Macaca mulatta: one gene and its partners. The protein of the gene in region 4 binds, or shares a complex with, the protein of the main gene of each other region. Links are inferred from orthologs where the notes say so. Each region holds a gene or a part of one and is shown on either strand. Other genes may lie near its edges.

Region 1 (4,097 bases), on a different chromosome or scaffold from region 4:
AATAGGTGATCTGTTAATTTACATCAAGATACCACAATGGAGGTACAATTAATCACTAACTTTCATTCTGAAACCCCTATTCTATGTGTTTCTAGCATTTGGCTCTTGAAGATTATATTAGTGCAGAGTGCCAAGTGGGGAGGGAGGAAGATTTTTTGAGATGGGGGGGTCTCTCTATGTTGCCCAGGCTGGTCTCGAACTCATGGGCTCAAGCAGTCCTCCCACTTCGGCCTCCCAAAGTGCTAGGATTACAGTCGTGAGCCATTGCACCCAGCCGTGGTTCTTAAGTATTCTTAAGAACACATTTTTTTTTCATTTTTATTTGTACAAAATCTTCTCCCACCACCCTCAAACAAATGCAGTTTAGACTACAGTGATAGCATTTTGTTTATGTCAAGAAAACAAAGTGTATTTCTTTACAAGTAAACTTTGAAAATGCAATTTCATTAGTACAGGAAATTAATAACTTTAGTGTCTTTCCTTCTTCAGCCTCACTCCCCTCATCTACAAGCAGAGTTGGGACTCAATTATTCTGTGAATTTTAACTCCAACTAATAAATTAACCAAGCTTTGAAATTTCTTTGTAAGTATGGTTATAACAATTCACATTGCTGTTTATGCCAGTGGCTTTATTTCAAATGGTAGTTTCTCAGTTGGAGAAGCAGTTCGAAGTCATTTTGAGCTCCGTTAAACTCATTGCTTTATAGAGCTGTGATTACTTTCATGTCCTAATTAAATGGCCACGTCTCTCTCTCGCATCTTGTTTGGAAAGTCACAAGCAATAAAGAACTGTGTTATATTATGACTGATGAGCATTATTTGATTTTTGCTATGCAATATTGCATATGATATTTACTACCTGTGAACCTGCTTTCAGCATAGGACACAGTTTCTGGAGCAGGTAATGGAAAGGGATTATTAAAGGAAACGATCTCATGCTTTGTTTTTGAGAGAAGGTTTCATCTGAAACAGAAACAGACACACATACCACGAGCCCGGTTACTATAGAACCGAAGAGACCTTTCCAGCTGTTTACACTTCGGATGTAAAATGGCAATTTGACATAGACTAACAGTGTGATGTGAGCATCTGCGTAAAAAGGCGACATATGGAGCATGCCCAGTGTGGGAGTGCGTCCTCCTCCCTCCGCCTCCCCCCTTCCCCTCGAGATCTCCAAAGATAAGGCTTGAACTTTGCACTTGCAAATGTCACTGCATACGTTTTTGCACTAGTTTTTTTTTTTTTTTTTCCTGCGATTCTTTTACAACTAATTTCCTTTAACAATTTGAGCGCAGGGAAGAGAATGTTTAGGGTTATGAGATGCATTAAGTTTAGAACGAGTTGATGCCCGGCTTCTGAATGCACTTGAAGTCTTCTTTATTTTTAAAGAAATATAAAGCACTCGAGTGTGTGTTTTCAGCCCCTCCTGGAAAGGGAAAATAAGAATTTCCCTGGATGGGAGTCCTCTGGGGCAGGGAGTGAAAGCCCCGGAGGCAGAAAGGGACGGAGCAGAGGGGCTTGCCCAGAGCATGGATAGGAAAGGAGCTGGGGTTCTCCGGGGCTCAGCGCGCACTGAGAACCTGTGCCCGGGGCTGCAGCTGCGGACGATAAAGGCGCTGTCTGGCTCATGAAGGCCACCTGGATCAGGCTTCTGAAAAGAGCCAAGGGAGGAAGGCTGAAGAATTCTGATATCTGTGTAAGCGCAAGGGCTTTCGTTTGGGGGGAGAGGTTATTGTGTTCTGCTTTTCTGTTGTTGCAGTGAGTGCAGGTAGAGAGGGTGGTTTGATTTGGTTAATCGGATCAAGATTGCAAGAGAGGGAAGCTAGGGAGATTCATCTCGTTTTTTGAGCTCCTTTCCCTGTGTTATGATTAATTGCCAGATGAGCTATCCCAGGCAGGTGTTTTCTGTAGACGGCTTTTTATTAAATCTAGGTAAAGGTATTTTAAAATGTGTTGCTGGAAGATGGAGTGAAGTTAGCTGCTAGTATCTTACAGTTTTATCAGAGAAAACAGCAGGTGTATAAAAAGGTAAACAAGGATTCTTCAGATTAAAGTGGGAATCATGTCATGGTAGTGACATTTGGGAGAGTTCAAGTTGATAACTCAGACTTTCTTTCATGTTTTTGTTAGGCTTAATGTCTTTCTGGTTTTAAATACCTGCTTTAGCATGTAGATTGTTCTTGAAGCTATCCTTGAAACCCATCGTTGTCCTTCAGTTCTGCACTGCACCATCAAGCTGTTTAATTATAAAAGCAACTTGTTCTGGCTTCCAGGAAGGGTGGTTTTTTTGAATATAAAGCTTAGGAAGGAATGGCAACTCAGTAGACACAACTATTCTATTGAATGTCTGCAAATCAGAGCATGGTTTTCTAGATAGGTTGCTGCAAAATGAATTATTTTCTCCTCTTTTCAGGAACGTATAGCACAATCCGGGAAGCTAACTGCTGTGTCGATGAGACTTTTCCAATGCAAACATCATAGATTGAATCTACTTTAAAATGTACATTTTCCTCTCCAGGGTTCGGCAGACTCCTACACTAGCCGTCCATCCGATTCCGATGTATCTCTGGAGGAGGACCGGGAAGCAGTGCGCAGAGAAGCGGAGCGGCAGGCCCAGGCACAGTTGGAAAAAGCAAAGGTAAAATCATTTCCTGCCTGCCAAGATCTTTCTTTGCAAGTTGTGCTGTGCCCCTGATAGACCACCTGTGGAAGTTTCCCCTAAAGCTTGTTTGATCTATTAGAGCATTTCATCGTCGGGTTTTAGAAAGGTACAAGAAATGGAGCCTAGTTTCTTCCCTTAGTAGAAAAGGGAAGTGTGTTGTGTAAGACTGGTCGTCTATGTTGTTTTATAATCCAAGCAACTCGTTTCTGTGGGTGGATGGCTTATTTGGACACGTACGAAAGGATCCCTGAATGTGCAAAGAGGAAAAACGGCACCTAATATCAACACATTTTACTTCATTTCCCCAGTAAATTATATCTCTGTTAAGAAAAAAAAAAAAAAAAAAAAAAAAAACAGACTGACTTCAAGCTATTGTTTATTTTCTTAGACTTGAACAGTTTTTCCCCTGAATTTTACTTCATAGGTGTTTTATATTAGTATCCTCTTACTTTCAAAATTGATTACATTATGCTTTTCAAAGAGCAACAGAGGATTTTATTGATTTTTAGAAGTTTCTTCTCTTAGAACATGTTCTTCTGCAGGATAAAGTGTGTATATATGGAAGGGAGACTGCAAAGCAGCTATGAAATAGATAGTTCCAGGATTTATCTCAGGTCTTGTCTCATTTAACTCATTGCAACGATTTGAATTCTTTTTCCCATGCTGTCCTTGGAATAGTGGCGATTTCTAAGGCATAGATTGTTCGAGTTGAAGGTAGCTTGGTTTTTGGGATACTCAGTCGCTTCCCAATGAACCTATTTTAACATGGTTGTTGATTTTCCTTTGAAAAACTTGTTTTGAAAAAGGCTAAGTGCCTTGTTGATCGTGCTAGAAATACCAGGATAGCATTTCTGCTGGCTGCTTCATCTCTGAGATGAGTAGAATCTATGTGTGTTGCTATGGGAATTGTGGTTAGGAGATTCTGGTTTGAATGCATGGACAGCCCTTATGTAATACATTATTCATGACCTCTAGCGCGGCTGCCATCCTAGTCTACTGAGGAACTGCCAGGAGACCTTGACTTCTAAAAAGCAGTACTTCTGTATATCAGAATGATGTTCTTACCTCAACTGGCAGGGAAATTTTCTCCAGGACTGACAGTCTTCTCTGAAAGGCAGTTCATAAATAGCAGATGCAGGGAGGGTTTTGTGATGGTGGAAACTGGTAAAACTGGATGTGGCCCAGTTGCCAACAACGAATCTGCTCTACCAATGTTAGCCACTTAGAACATTGTGAAGTTGAAATGAAATAATGAAGAACATTAAATAATGTATGACAGTCAGCACTGTAGTTAATATAGGTTGCAGCTGAGAGTCTGAATTCTATATTCTATATTTTGCATTGTGTGTAAAGAAAAGTAAGAAAAAACTACAATTTGTATTCTGAAAATAAGATTGTTCTATTTGTGGCTAATTTATTCATGTAAGTTTCACAT
Region 2 (4,277 bases), on a different chromosome or scaffold from region 4:
ATTTCCACCAGCCTTCTCATTGCTTTTATGGAGAAGAAGATTTTTGGAAGTTCTTTTTCTCTATCATCTTTTTCGTGATGTCATTCAAAGTTGAAACATGTAAAGCATTTACAACAATATTCGGCACATAGGGTTACGTGTATGTGCCATTATTATTGTTGTTGTTGTTAATAATAAATGAGAGGCCACATATGAACCCGCTTCCTCCCTCCAGACAAGAATGGTCCCAGGGGGCACAAGAAGGGCATATGGGGAAGGAGAAAGATGTCCATTTGCAGAGAAAAGAGAGGGAAAAAGGCAGGAACATATTTTGGAAGATGACTGGGAGAAAGGTAGTGCTCAGTGTCACAAGTGTGGGAAGTATGGTTCATAGCTGGTTAGGCTAAGAAGGCAAAGAGGTAGATCCTGGTCAGGCTCAAGGCCTGTTGGTCCAACAAGCAATGCCTGTTGGTCCCCTGTAATTGGTCTAGTCACCTCTCACCAGCCTGTCTCTTCCTTGTGTGGACTCTGCTCACTGCCCAGTCCTCTGCTCTGACTTTAAAAGGCAGATGGTTCCAAGGACGGGTGAACAGGACTGTAACAGCACGTCCCTATGCGCGGTCCCTGAAGAAGCTGCCCTGCCCTGCCCTGCCCAGGGGAGTTGGCTGGAGGGATTGCCTGTTTATGGGTGTGCTTGGCAGTCGCCAAGGGGCATGGGCATCCGGGCTATGCGATACCCTGCCAGCACATGGCCACACCTGTCACCCTCAGCCCTGGGACTCGGTGTTTCTATAACAGTTGGGCACTTACGAGTCTTCTGGGCGTCCAGTGGGCGTGAATGAGGGAGGGGATCTCTGGAGCAAGCAGCAGGGAAAGAAGAGGGAGCAGAGATATGGGAGGTTGGGGTGTTGGCTCTTTGGTTCACATGCAGACTGCAAGATCTTTGGGGACTCAGCCCTAGTGTCCTTGAAGGACAGGTTTCAAGGAACACCAAAGTCTGGTAAAAGAGGGAATAATCCTGAAAACCAGGTGGGACATCACACTGACATAACCCTGCTCCACTGCCACTGTGGATGGGCGTCTGTAAACCTGGGAAGGGATCTTACATTGCTGAGAGTCAGTCCCATATTTTATAGAGGAAGAAGCAGAGGCTGAGATGATCTTTGTCCTCGCTGGATGGTCATTTGAGGGTAATGGGCAATGGTGACTAGATCCCTGGCCGCCTGGTCTCCACGTAGCACCCTTTCCTCTAAAGTGCTGTATTTGCTAAGAATCCAGAAGCCTCGGCATTTGCAGAATAGAGGCTAGTCATGCAACTACCAGGTACTCCTGAAAAGGAGCTTACCTTCGACATGTGGTTCGGTCACATGGTAGGAAATCGAGGAATACGCTTAAATTACAGGGTGAGGAAATGCTTTGTAACTCTGACAGGGTCTGAGCTAACGGAGGATGCATAATGGACTGACGTCCTGACAAAAGGGCGGGCGGAGGCCAGGCACGGTGGCTCACGCCTGTAATCCTAGCACTTCGGGAGGCCAAGGCAGGTGGATCACCTGAGGTCAGGGGTTCAAGACCAGCCTGGTCAACATGCCAAAACCCCGTCTGTACTGAAAGTATAAAACTTAGATGGGTGTGGCGGCGCATGCCTGTAATCCCAGCTACTGGGGAAGCCAAGGCAGGAGAATCACTTGAGTCCAGGAGGCGGAGGTTGCAGTGAGCCAAGATTGTACCACTGCATTCCAGCCTGGGCGACAGGGCAAAACTCTGTCTCAAAAAAAAAAAAAAAAAAAAAAAAAAAAGGTAGGGGCAGGTGGCTCACCCACAGCCACGTCCTGCTTCACAGGCATTCAACCTGTGCAGCTTCTCCAGGCCCAGGGCCCACAAGGGTCCATGCTTGGATTCATGTGCTGCTATCGCTGCCTTGAAATCCTTGGTAATTTGGAGCAAGGAACCCTGCATTTTCATTTTGCACAGGACCCTGCATATTCCGTCGCCTGTCCTCTCTCCTCCCCTGCCTTGAGGCCAGGGACAAACCTGCCAGCTCCATGGTTTCCCCCAGCCTGAGGACACAGAGCCACCCAGCATGTCTTTGCAGGGAGAGAGTGACCAGATGGAGCCCAGAAGTCCCTGGGCTGGTAGAGCTGCGGTTCCCGTCTTGAGCCTGCCCAGCTCTCTGTTCTGGGCGAAAAGCCCCAGGGTCCAGCCAGACAGAAATAGCTGGGACAAACGCCCTCGTCTTACAACCCAGCCCCAGCCACCAGCACAGCACATGCAATTCAGATCTTCTTCCCTGGGCAGAAAGGGCTGGGCGGCTGCCCTATCTCTAGCCTGAGAAACCTGCCTTCCTTGGCATGGGCAAATTTGTCCGGGGGACGACGGGGAAGGGCGGGAGGTGGGGATCGGGACGGAGGGTGGGTACGTTACCCCCGGGCAGGGTGATGGGCCCGCAGGTCTTGCTGTCGTCCATGGGGATGCGCTTGGTACAAATCCGCCAGAGGCCGAAGTGGGCCGCCTCGCAGGTGGTGTTGTGGTGCTCCATGTGGGGGCTCAGCACAGCCCAGTGGTCGGTTACCACGGCCGTCATGGCCAGCACGATGCCTGCCAGGATGCAGAAGAGGGTCACGCGGACCTTCAGCGTTTTGGTCTGGGACATGGTGGTCGCCGAGGCGTGGGTGCCCTGGGCAGGGTCCGGCGGCTGCGTCTCCTCCGGCAGGTGACAGCCGAGCTGGGGGGTGGCGGTGGTTGTCGAGTTGGGAGTGGCCACTAAGTTTAGTGTGCCTGGCTGAGCCAGAGTGGGCTGGCCCTGGGGCTGAGGGACGCGGGATGTGCTGAGCAGCTGCCCAGACGCGTCAGGGGCCTGAGGAAGGCTGCTATTAATGCCCCTCTCCAGGCGTGGCACCGGGGACGGCTTCTGCTCGGGTTTCAGCGCTGTCTGCCCCTCTGGGAGCCAGAAATACCCCAGTGGGGGGCGGGGCAAGGAGAGAAGGCTCTGGATGGTGGATTGAGGCCTCTATGGAGTAGCAGCTCAGGGTGCCTGAGTTGGGAGGGGGCGAGGGGTGGGCAGCAGGGCCCCAGGGGTGGAGATCTGTCTGCTCTGGGCTGATGGGAAAGGGCACCCCAGGCCAGGGGAGGAGACCAGGAGCTGCAGGCTGCACGGCCGTCCCGGGCTCCCACATTGTAAGCCTACTACCGGCGGGGCAGTGAGTAGGTTCTCATCCTGGGATCTGGGGGGCCTAGGATTCTGTCTAGGGACATCCCAGGGACCCTGTCCGGGGCCTGTGGAGTCCACCTCTCAGGCAAGCGTTTTAGCCACAAACCCCACAGCATCCCGCAAACCACAGGAAGATTTTAGGTGGTTCCCAGGCCTGGCCTTACCCAACTCTGATCCCTCCACGAGAACATTACTTCCTTTTCAATTCTCTTTCCATCCCCAAAACTGGGTCCAGAGCAGAGCTCCGTTCGAGGTCAGTGTCATTACTGCCCGCAAAGTGTCCTCTGAAACAAAGCGAGAACGGCCTGAAGAGGACGAGGAATCCTGCTGGACTTGGTTGTTCTGTTTTCAGGGCACTGTGTTTGGTTTTGCCTTCTACTAACAGCAGGTGATAACGATTTTCCAGTTACGTTTTAATTTGCAAAATATGTGTGTGAGTGAAAAAGAACGAATAGGTTGATTTATAGGGGATCATCAGGAGCTCATGGGTGTGCGGATATGGCAGAGAACACAGAAAGCCTGGGATCGACCACCCTCCGAGGGTCCTGTGCGCCTGCCTGGCCCCCAGGCCTGTCCCCGAGGCTGCGGCCTCTACGTCTCTCCTGGGTTGTGCCATCTCTCCCTTCTCAGCTCACTGGGTGGCCCTTTTTGGGTGTAGCCGAGAGGCTGATGCATGATCAGGAATAGCCTCCTGAGCTGGGTGGGGCCTTGAACTTCAAAATTCTTGCCTCAGATTGACACGATTTACAGAGACTCTGCCCATGTGGACAGAAACATTTCGGCCTCCAGCCTTGGAATCACAGAAAGTTCATGATGATGATAATAGGAGCAGTGGCTCATCTTCAGTGAGTGCTTACTATCTAACAGGCACTCTGCTGAGCCTTCATCCATCATCGCAGTTACTCTTCACACCAAATCCACAAGGGGACTGTGGCTGTTTTTGCCATTTCACAGTAACACAACTGTTACTGCCATTTCACAGACAAGGACATGGACACTCAGAGACGTGAAGTCACTTGTCTAAGGTCACACAGCGGGAAAATGAGGAAGCCAGGTTTCAGGACCCAGAGCCCGAAGTCTTAACCAA
Region 3 (3,561 bases), on a different chromosome or scaffold from region 4:
TGCACCCACTCGCTCAGCCCCCGCCCCTGCCTGGCCCCTCCCCCAGCACCAGGCACCCTCCCCTGCTGCCTGCTGGCCTGCGTCATCTCATTCAGGGACAGCCTGGCCTGCCTCCCTCTAGCTTGCTTCGGGCTGTCACCCACTCCCCCTGCCGGCTGTCTGCTTCCATGTCCTCCCCCAGAATCTGTGACAGGGTGGGGTGGAGGCAGGTCCTAGGAAAAGCAGAGCGAGGATGTTTGGGTCCCTGTAGTCCTGGTGAGGTCCTGGTCAGGGAAACACGCTCCTCACCTCAAGACTTGACTATCTAAGAAGCACAGAGAAAGGGTGATGGTGACGGGGATGGGGGTGGTTGAGGCATGAGGCTGTTAATTTTATAATAGAGAAGACGGTAGCGCAGCACCACTGCCTGAAAGGGTGTAACTGAGAGTAGCTTTCTGGGGTCTCCTGTGCTCGGTCAGTAAGTGGCTGCTCTTATCTCTCTGTCAATCTTAGGCTCAGGGTGAGGCACGGAGAGAGGCATGTGGTTGCTATGACTACTTAGCATCTCACCAAAGCCTGGTACCCAAAAAAGGCGAGAGGGGCTTGGAATTAGACAAGGAAAAGGCGTGCATTGAAGAGGAAATGGGCAGGGCATTCGAGGGCAGAAGACAGCACAGAGGAGGGGTCCTCTGGAGATGAGCCCCTCCCTTCCACCTTGGGCCAGGAGCGAGAGTGATGCCAGGCAGATCCACCACTAATTAGAGTGAGGCCCTTCTTTCTGATTCTTCTGTCTCTACAGCACTTGGCACATGTGAGCCTCAGTCTGACTTGGGAGCTTCGGGAAGGGGAGGCTTCATTCTAGTCTTTTCTAAGTATAGGAACAGACAGGAAGTCCTTTCTTCAATCACTCCCTCATCCCTCCTGTTGCAGGACTTGGCCAGGGCTAGGAAGAATGACGCTGTGCTTTTATTGCCCCTCTTGGCAGAAAAGGACCTTGGCTCCTTCAGTGTTTGCCAACCCAGGGAGTCAGACCCCAGCCTCCAGTTCTTCCTCCTTTTAGCTCCCCAGCTCTGATCCCCGGTAGGTGGTGGGGAGTGGTGGGGGAGCAGTCCTTGCCACATCTCTGAGCTAAATATACCCTAGCAGTTTGCACATGTAGCAACTCTGCTTGTAACCTGAGCCCCCGAGGGAACGGGCAGTTTGGGCCACCCCCTAGGCCAGCAGGGCCAGGCACTGAGGGCGCCGGGATGGAGGCGCCCAGCCGGACCCTGGTGGTGGTGAGCTGGGGATGGAGTGGGGTGGCGGCGGGTAGAACAGCCTCTCAGGAAAGCTGGCGGAGGGCGGCCTTTCCTCCAGCCTGTCTCCATGCCTCCTCACTGTTTCCTGTCTTCTGCCATTTCTGATGTATGCGTGTGTATGCGCATGCGTGTGTCTGCATATGTGTATGTGTGCATGTGCCTACGTGTGCATCCGCGTGCACCTGTGTGTCTGCATATGTGTGTGTGTGTCTGCCCGCACATGTGTGTCTGCGTGTGTGCATGTAACTGTGTGTGTGTTGGGGTCGGTGAGTGTGCGCGTGCATGGGCCTGCGTCTGTGTTGGAGTTGGTGAGTGTGTGTGTGTGAATGCGCGTGCCCGCATGTGTGTTGGGGTCGATGAGTGCCTCTCTGCTAGTCTGTCTCCCTGTTTCCCTGGCTCTTTGACTCTGTGTGCTCCCATCAGGGTGGAGAGTGGGAGCTATGCTGGTTTTCTCTCCCTCCTTCATGCCTCTCGCCCCACCCCAACCCTTCCCCCGCGGGTCTCCCATTTTCATGATTTGGCTGGGAAAGAGATGGGGAGCTGCACCAGCTAATGACCTGGGGCCCCTGGGGAGAGGTGGGACTTTGTCTTCTGTCTTTCCCAGGTTCCCTCCATGCCAAACTCATGGACATTCCTGGCCAAGTGACCCTTTTATACCCTCAGGAAAGAACCCCTATATCTCTGCAGTCCTCCTCTTTTGCCACATAACCTCCTATGCCTTGTCCAACACCACTCCCACATAGTCACACGAATCCACACTTCCTTACTCCTGCACTCACATGTCCCCCACCCTCAGGGTCATAGATATCTGGGAGGCCCCCGCCAATACACTCGCATGTGGCTCTACACATGTGGTCATATGTAGCCAACTATAGAGCACGCCCTCCTCCACACACTTGTACTTGCACATCCTCGCACACACGTGAATAAGCACATGCATTCCCACTACCAGGTCTGTATGGGCGACATGTGTCTTACACATATGTGTGCATCCCTAAAGGAGTCCCTCGTGCTCTGGGTTGGTCACTGTGGTCAAAGCCAGCTGCCTGGCACCCAGCAGCCCTCATCTCAGGGAAAGCCCTGTCCCATATCCTGCTCTTAACTTGCCTCTTCAGTCTGCACCAGCCTGGAAATCTTGGGTTCTCTTGTGTCCTAGGAGAGCCTGAGGATTGGGGCTCTAAGTAGTGAAGTTTGATTTTGGCAGTACCAGGTAAAGGAGCAGGGGAGGTAGGAGTCTATCTCCCTCTACCCTTGAACAGAAGTTGGCAAAATCTGTGGTGGCCCCATCCTGTGGAGCAGGCCATCCGCGGCTGATAGTGCAGAAAGCTCAGGCCGAAGCTGGTGGCTGCAGTCCCTGGAATGGATGCCACTGGACCTCGGCTGAGTCTATCTCAGTGGGTGCTGGGGGCAGGGGAGGGAAGGAGCAGTGGGAGTAGAGACTCGTCCCTGGCATTCCTCCCTTGCCTTGTGCCCCTATCAGGTTCCCACCCCTCCCTGGGCCCCAAGCAGCTGTCCTTGGGCCTGCCTTCATCTCCTGCTTGCTGCTGTCACCCTCACTAGGGCCACACTTTCCCCAGGGGCCTGAGAAATCTCAGCTCCTGGTCCCTTCCACCTAATACCACCTTCTCTTAGCCCTTGTGGCGTCATGCTGGGCTGGCTGGGGCTAGAGGCATCCATGATGGGTGGCACCTCCATGCCTTCCCAGGCCCAGGAGCTGGGAGAGGCAGCAATGGCCCTGATCTGGCTCTCTGTATTTTCAGGGCTCAGCGGAGTCCTACACCAGCCGTCCATCGGACTCTGATGTATCTCTGGAGGAGGACCGGGAAGCCTTAAGGAAAGAAGCAGAGCGCCAGGCATTAGCACAGCTCGAGAAGGCCAAGGTGAGAAAGATGTGGGAAGGGGCGTGCTGGCATGATTTCCCTGGGCCATAGAGAGAGCCCGGGCAGACCCAGGGCCAAGTCTTGACTCAGCCACTTCCTAGTACCCCTGAACCTTGCGTCTCTGTCTTCACCTGCACAACGTGGGCTATAATACCTGCCTGGTTATACAGTATAATAAGTATAATAAGTGCCTGTTATTATACTGTTTCCACACACAATAAGCGCTTGAGAAGTGCTAAAAATTTCTTTTTCTTTTTTTTTTTTTTTTTGAGATGCAGTCTTGCTCTGTCACCCAGGCTGGCATGCAGTGGCGTGATCTCAGCTCACTGCGACCTCCACCTCCCAAGTTCAAGTGATTCTCCTGCCTCAGCCTCCCGAATAGCTGGGATTACAGGCGTGCACCA
Region 4 (4,048 bases):
AATGAATGGGATGGAGGAGGGACCAGCAAGGGGTAGCTGGTGACATGTCTCCTCCTTTCTTTTTTTTTCGCTCTGTCACCCAGGCTGGAGTGCAGTGGTGCAATCTCAGCTCACTGCAAGCTCCGCCTCCCGGGTTCACGCCATTCTCCTGCCTCAGCCTCCCGAGTAGCTGGGACTACAGGTGCCCGCCACCACGTCCGGCTAATTTTTTGTATTTTTTAGTAGAGACAGGGTTTCACTGTGTTAACCAGGATGGTCTCCATCTCCTGACCTCGTGATCCGCCTGCCTCGGCCTCCCAAAGTGCTGGGATTACAGGTGTGAGCCACTGTGCCCGTCCATGTCACCTCTTTTCTACACCTTGTTCCCCAGAGCCTACTCACGATCTTGCCGAAGCATCTCTGCATTTCCACATAGGACTGACAGTGTTCATGGATGTTGGTTTTGCAGTTCTTACAGCGAAGCCCAAACTTGTTGTTGACTTGGGAGAGGGGGAGAAAATTCAGATAAGATTCCAGATTGCCCTTTCCCTTTGTACCACTGCTGCTACTCTTAGGTTCCCTTTTCTGTCTGGGACCTTACTTGCTCAATCTCTAACAGCATTGCCTTACACCAACTCTAGCCACAGCCCATCTGCTACAAATACTCCTCTTGTATGCCCTCTCCCCAACCTCTGCCTTCAACATCATACTCTCTTCACTCCCCTTTATGACTCACGAACAATCATCCGGGCACAGACATCACAGAACTTTGGCTTCTTGAAGAAATGATCTTTGAATTTGTGGGGCTTATCGTTGACCAGCTTAGGAGGTTCTGGGAGTGGCTCCTCCTCCTCCTCTTCTTCTTCTTCCTCTTCCTCATAAATGTAGTAGATGGGCCCACCCCCAGCTCCCACTGCCTCCCCATTGGCCTGGGGCTCTGGGGGAAGTTCCATTTCCTTTGTCCCTGTAGAACCCTTCCTGAGTAACTGCTTCAGCCGCTGTAGCTGAGGGAGGGAGTGAAGAAAACCCAACGTTAAAAGGACTTGTCACCCTCTCTAGAGTAGGGGGGTGTTAGAGCAAACAGACAGTTTTCTAGTTTTGGGCAAGGAATGTACCCCAGGATTAGGCAGGTATTGGTATTGGGGACTGCAGGTGCTGGCCAGCAAAACATGAGTCACACACAAATGAGATCAATTTAAGCACTCTTCTTCAGCTGTAAAGGTTTCCTGGCCCCCCACACCCAGTGGTCACAGGCCCAGACTCACCCCGCTTTGCCGAGTCTCTGCTGGGAAAGAGGGCTTAGGGGACTCCAGCACCTCCTTTTCTGTCATCCTGCAAGAGGTTGGACCCCACTATGAAATCTAATCCCTTTCACTCTTCTCCCCCTTATTTCTGTCCCTTGCAGTAGGGCGGTACTCAAAGGGAAGGTTTTTGGAGAAACGTGATTAGAGATTTTGTTGTTGTTGAGATGGGGTTTCACTCTGTCACCCAGGTTGGAGTGCAGTGGCATGATCATGGCTCACTGCAGCCTTGACCTCCCAGCCTGAAGCAATCCCCCTACCTCAGCTTCCTGAGTAGCTGGAACACAAGGTGCACACTACCTGGCTACCTTTTTATTTTTTGTAGAGACATGGTCTTGCTTTGTTGCCTAGGCTTACCCGAACTAGCTCAAGCAATCCTCCCGTTTCAACCCCCAAAGTGTTGAGATTCCAGGCGTGAGCCACTGCACTGGGCCAAATACAGATCATTTGGCAGGTTTTATTAACAGATTTCATGGAAGTCTAGGAAAAAGCCCAACATGACCAGGCGCGGTGGTGCATGCCTGTAATCCCAGCACTTTGGGAGGCTGAGGCGGGCAGATCACTAGAGATCAGGAGTTCAAGACTAGCCTGGCCAACATGGTGAAACCCCATCTCTACTAAATATACAAAAATTAGCCGGGCGTGATGGTGGACACCAGTAATTCCATCTACTCAGGAAGCTAAGGAAGGAGAATCGCTTGAACCCAGGAGGTTGCAGTGAGCCAGAATTGTGCCACTGCCCTCCAGCCTGGGTGACAGAGCAAGACTCCATCTCAAAAAAAATAAAAAATAATAAATAAATAAATAAATCCCAACAGACTAAAGAGCTCCCCAATTAGTTCCTCAAACTGATACTCATCCTTCCATCCTGAGGGGAGACCCCATAGTTTACAGCCCTTACAGTGTTCAAGGCTGCATGGTTTATGTTATTTTCCTATAGGTACTTTGTTTCTCTTGGGAATCTGTGGGCAACAGAGATGTGATGCATACCTTCCCAGATCTCCTCTCTTCAAGAGGTTTAATGTGTGTCCTCGTGTGCGCACAAGGAAGGATGGACTGCAGACATTTGTCCTCCCCTACTTCTTTCTTGAGCCCTGGGGGCCCTGTGCCTAGTTCTGTCCCAGCCTGCCTCAGGGCTCAGCTATTTTAAGTTTTCAGGGTAATATGAGCCTTTCCTTCCCTTACTACTTCATTCCCTTTACCCCACCCCCACCCCCCCTCCAATCCTAACTCATCCTAGAGTAGAATAATAATTTTACTCCTAAAACCCAAACGACTCACAGACAAGGAAAGAAATGAAGAAGCTGAATAGATTATAGATCAGGGCAGCTGGCGTGAGCAGTCGTGGAAATCGAGAGGATGAAGAGGTAACTTACGTTTGGGATTCCCTAAATCAGTCCACAGTCTGTAGAGGGAGCTGGGAGCCCCGAGGCCTTGATGGTGGTGCTGGGGAAAAACTGGTCCTCTTCCTTGGGGGCTAAGCCCCCCCAGTACCCTGTGTTCACACCAGCTACCCAGTCGCTATTTGTAGACCTCCTAACCTCCTGCCTTGGTGTCAGGGCTGAAATGACAGGGCTGGAGGAAAGTGAACAGCTGAGAAACACAGCTGACACAGAGAAATTGGACACTGAGAGGTCTGGGGCAGGGCTGGACCCTAACTCCTCCCATCCCTCCAGAGCTGCTGTTCCTTGATTCTTCATCTAAGGTGAACAGGTGAATAATGGCCAAATTCAGCAAGGGACAGTTTCTGTTCATGCTCATATAACATTTAAAGGGAGTTTATTTTTATTTTTCATTTATTTTTTGAGACAGGGTAAAAAAAAAAAAAAAAGACTAATTCGAACGCATAGAGCTCTCCTATCAGCCATACTAGATGGCTTTCTTTTTTTTTTTTTTTTTTGAGACAGAGTCTTGCTCTTGTCACCCAGGCTGGAGTGCAATGAAGTGATCCGGACTCACTGCAACCTCCCAGGTTCAAGCGATTCTCCTGCCTCAGCCTCCTAAGCAGCTGGGATTACAGGCGCCCACCACCATGCCCAGGTAATGTTTGTATTTTTAGTAGAGACGGGGTTTCACCATGTTGGCCAGGTTGGTCTCAAACCCCTGACCTCAGGTGATCTGCCTGCCTCGGCCTTCCAAAGTGCTAGGATTACAGGCGTGGGTCACCGTGCATGGTTAGATTGCTTTTTATCTGTGGGTGGTTGGAGAAGTACTTTGCTATCCTGTAAGAAAGTGAAGAATATGTAGTATTGCTTCATTCCCTCCATCAGCTCCCAGAGACATCTCCCCACCCTCCTTCTTGCAAAATTTTGTCCTCAGGGTGAATGGAATTACCAGGGCTATTAAAAAGGGCCAGTTAACACTAGACAGAAGGATATAGCTGCCACATAAGGAATCTTTTTAATAATTTCTAAGTAATGTCCCCTTCCTCATGAGAACTGCAAACTCTTAAAGGTAGGATGGCCAACCTCACACTTCCTAAACCCTTTTGATTCCCTGATTCCATCTCCCACCTTTGATGCCTCAGTATGTAACTGATGGATCAAAGAGACAGATGCCATTCTGATCTCACAGGGGTTTACCCTTCTCCTACTCTTTGGGCTGTGACATAGATGAAAGAGGAGATACTCCCATCTCAGGGGAGAGCAATTTAGAGGTGGCAATGCAGTGCTGCTTTATTCCTTGTATCTGTAAGAAATAAAGGACTGTGTTGGAGACTGAGTCAGGCAAGCTCCTGTAGGACCATGGTTAGGGATACAGCTACTTGG

What was found.
Region 1: STAC3 (region 4) and CACNB2 share a complex: the UniProt entries of both Homo sapiens proteins name them as parts of the calcium channel complex. The link is inferred for Macaca mulatta from reciprocal best matches to the Homo sapiens genes STAC3 and CACNB2.
Region 2: STAC3 (region 4) and CACNG1 share a complex: the UniProt entries of both Homo sapiens proteins name them as parts of the calcium channel complex. The link is inferred for Macaca mulatta from reciprocal best matches to the Homo sapiens genes STAC3 and CACNG1.
Region 3: STAC3 (region 4) and CACNB1 share a complex: the UniProt entries of both Homo sapiens proteins name them as parts of the calcium channel complex. The link is inferred for Macaca mulatta from reciprocal best matches to the Homo sapiens genes STAC3 and CACNB1.

What each region holds. Positions count from the first base shown.
Region 1 is NC_133414.1:19,966,767-19,970,863, forward strand, and holds the start of CACNB2 (voltage-dependent L-type calcium channel subunit beta-2), read left to right. Parts: upstream 1-1,295; 5' UTR 1,296-1,627; coding exon 1,628-1,696; intron 1,697-2,518; coding exon 2,519-2,638; intron 2,639-4,097. UniProt on the Homo sapiens protein: Beta subunit of voltage-dependent calcium channels which contributes to the function of the calcium channel by increasing peak calcium current. Plays a role in shifting voltage dependencies of activation and inactivation of the channel.
Region 2 is NC_133421.1:76,795,402-76,799,678, reverse strand, and holds the start of CACNG1 (voltage-dependent calcium channel gamma-1 subunit), read right to left. Parts: upstream 2,826-4,277; 5' UTR 2,633-2,825; coding exon 2,404-2,632; intron 1-2,403. UniProt on the Homo sapiens protein: Regulatory subunit of the voltage-gated calcium channel that gives rise to L-type calcium currents in skeletal muscle. Regulates channel inactivation kinetics.
Region 3 is NC_133421.1:63,521,940-63,525,500, reverse strand, and holds part of CACNB1 (voltage-dependent L-type calcium channel subunit beta-1), read left to right. Parts: intron 1-1,110; exon of another isoform or gene 1,111-1,226; coding exon of another isoform or gene 1,227-1,256; intron 1,257-3,037; coding exon 3,038-3,157; intron 3,158-3,561. UniProt on the Homo sapiens protein: Regulatory subunit of L-type calcium channels. Regulates the activity of L-type calcium channels that contain CACNA1A as pore-forming subunit.
Region 4 is NC_133416.1:64,408,937-64,412,984, forward strand, and holds the start of STAC3 (SH3 and cysteine-rich domain-containing protein 3), read right to left. Parts: upstream 2,853-4,048; 5' UTR 2,657-2,852; intron 1,312-2,656; exon of another isoform or gene 1,311-1,311; coding exon of another isoform or gene 1,245-1,310; intron 984-1,244; coding exon of another isoform or gene 933-983; coding exon 716-932; intron 480-715; coding exon 382-479; intron 1-381. UniProt on the Homo sapiens protein: Required for normal excitation-contraction coupling in skeletal muscle and for normal muscle contraction in response to membrane depolarization. Required for normal Ca(2+) release from the sarcplasmic reticulum, which ultimately leads to muscle contraction.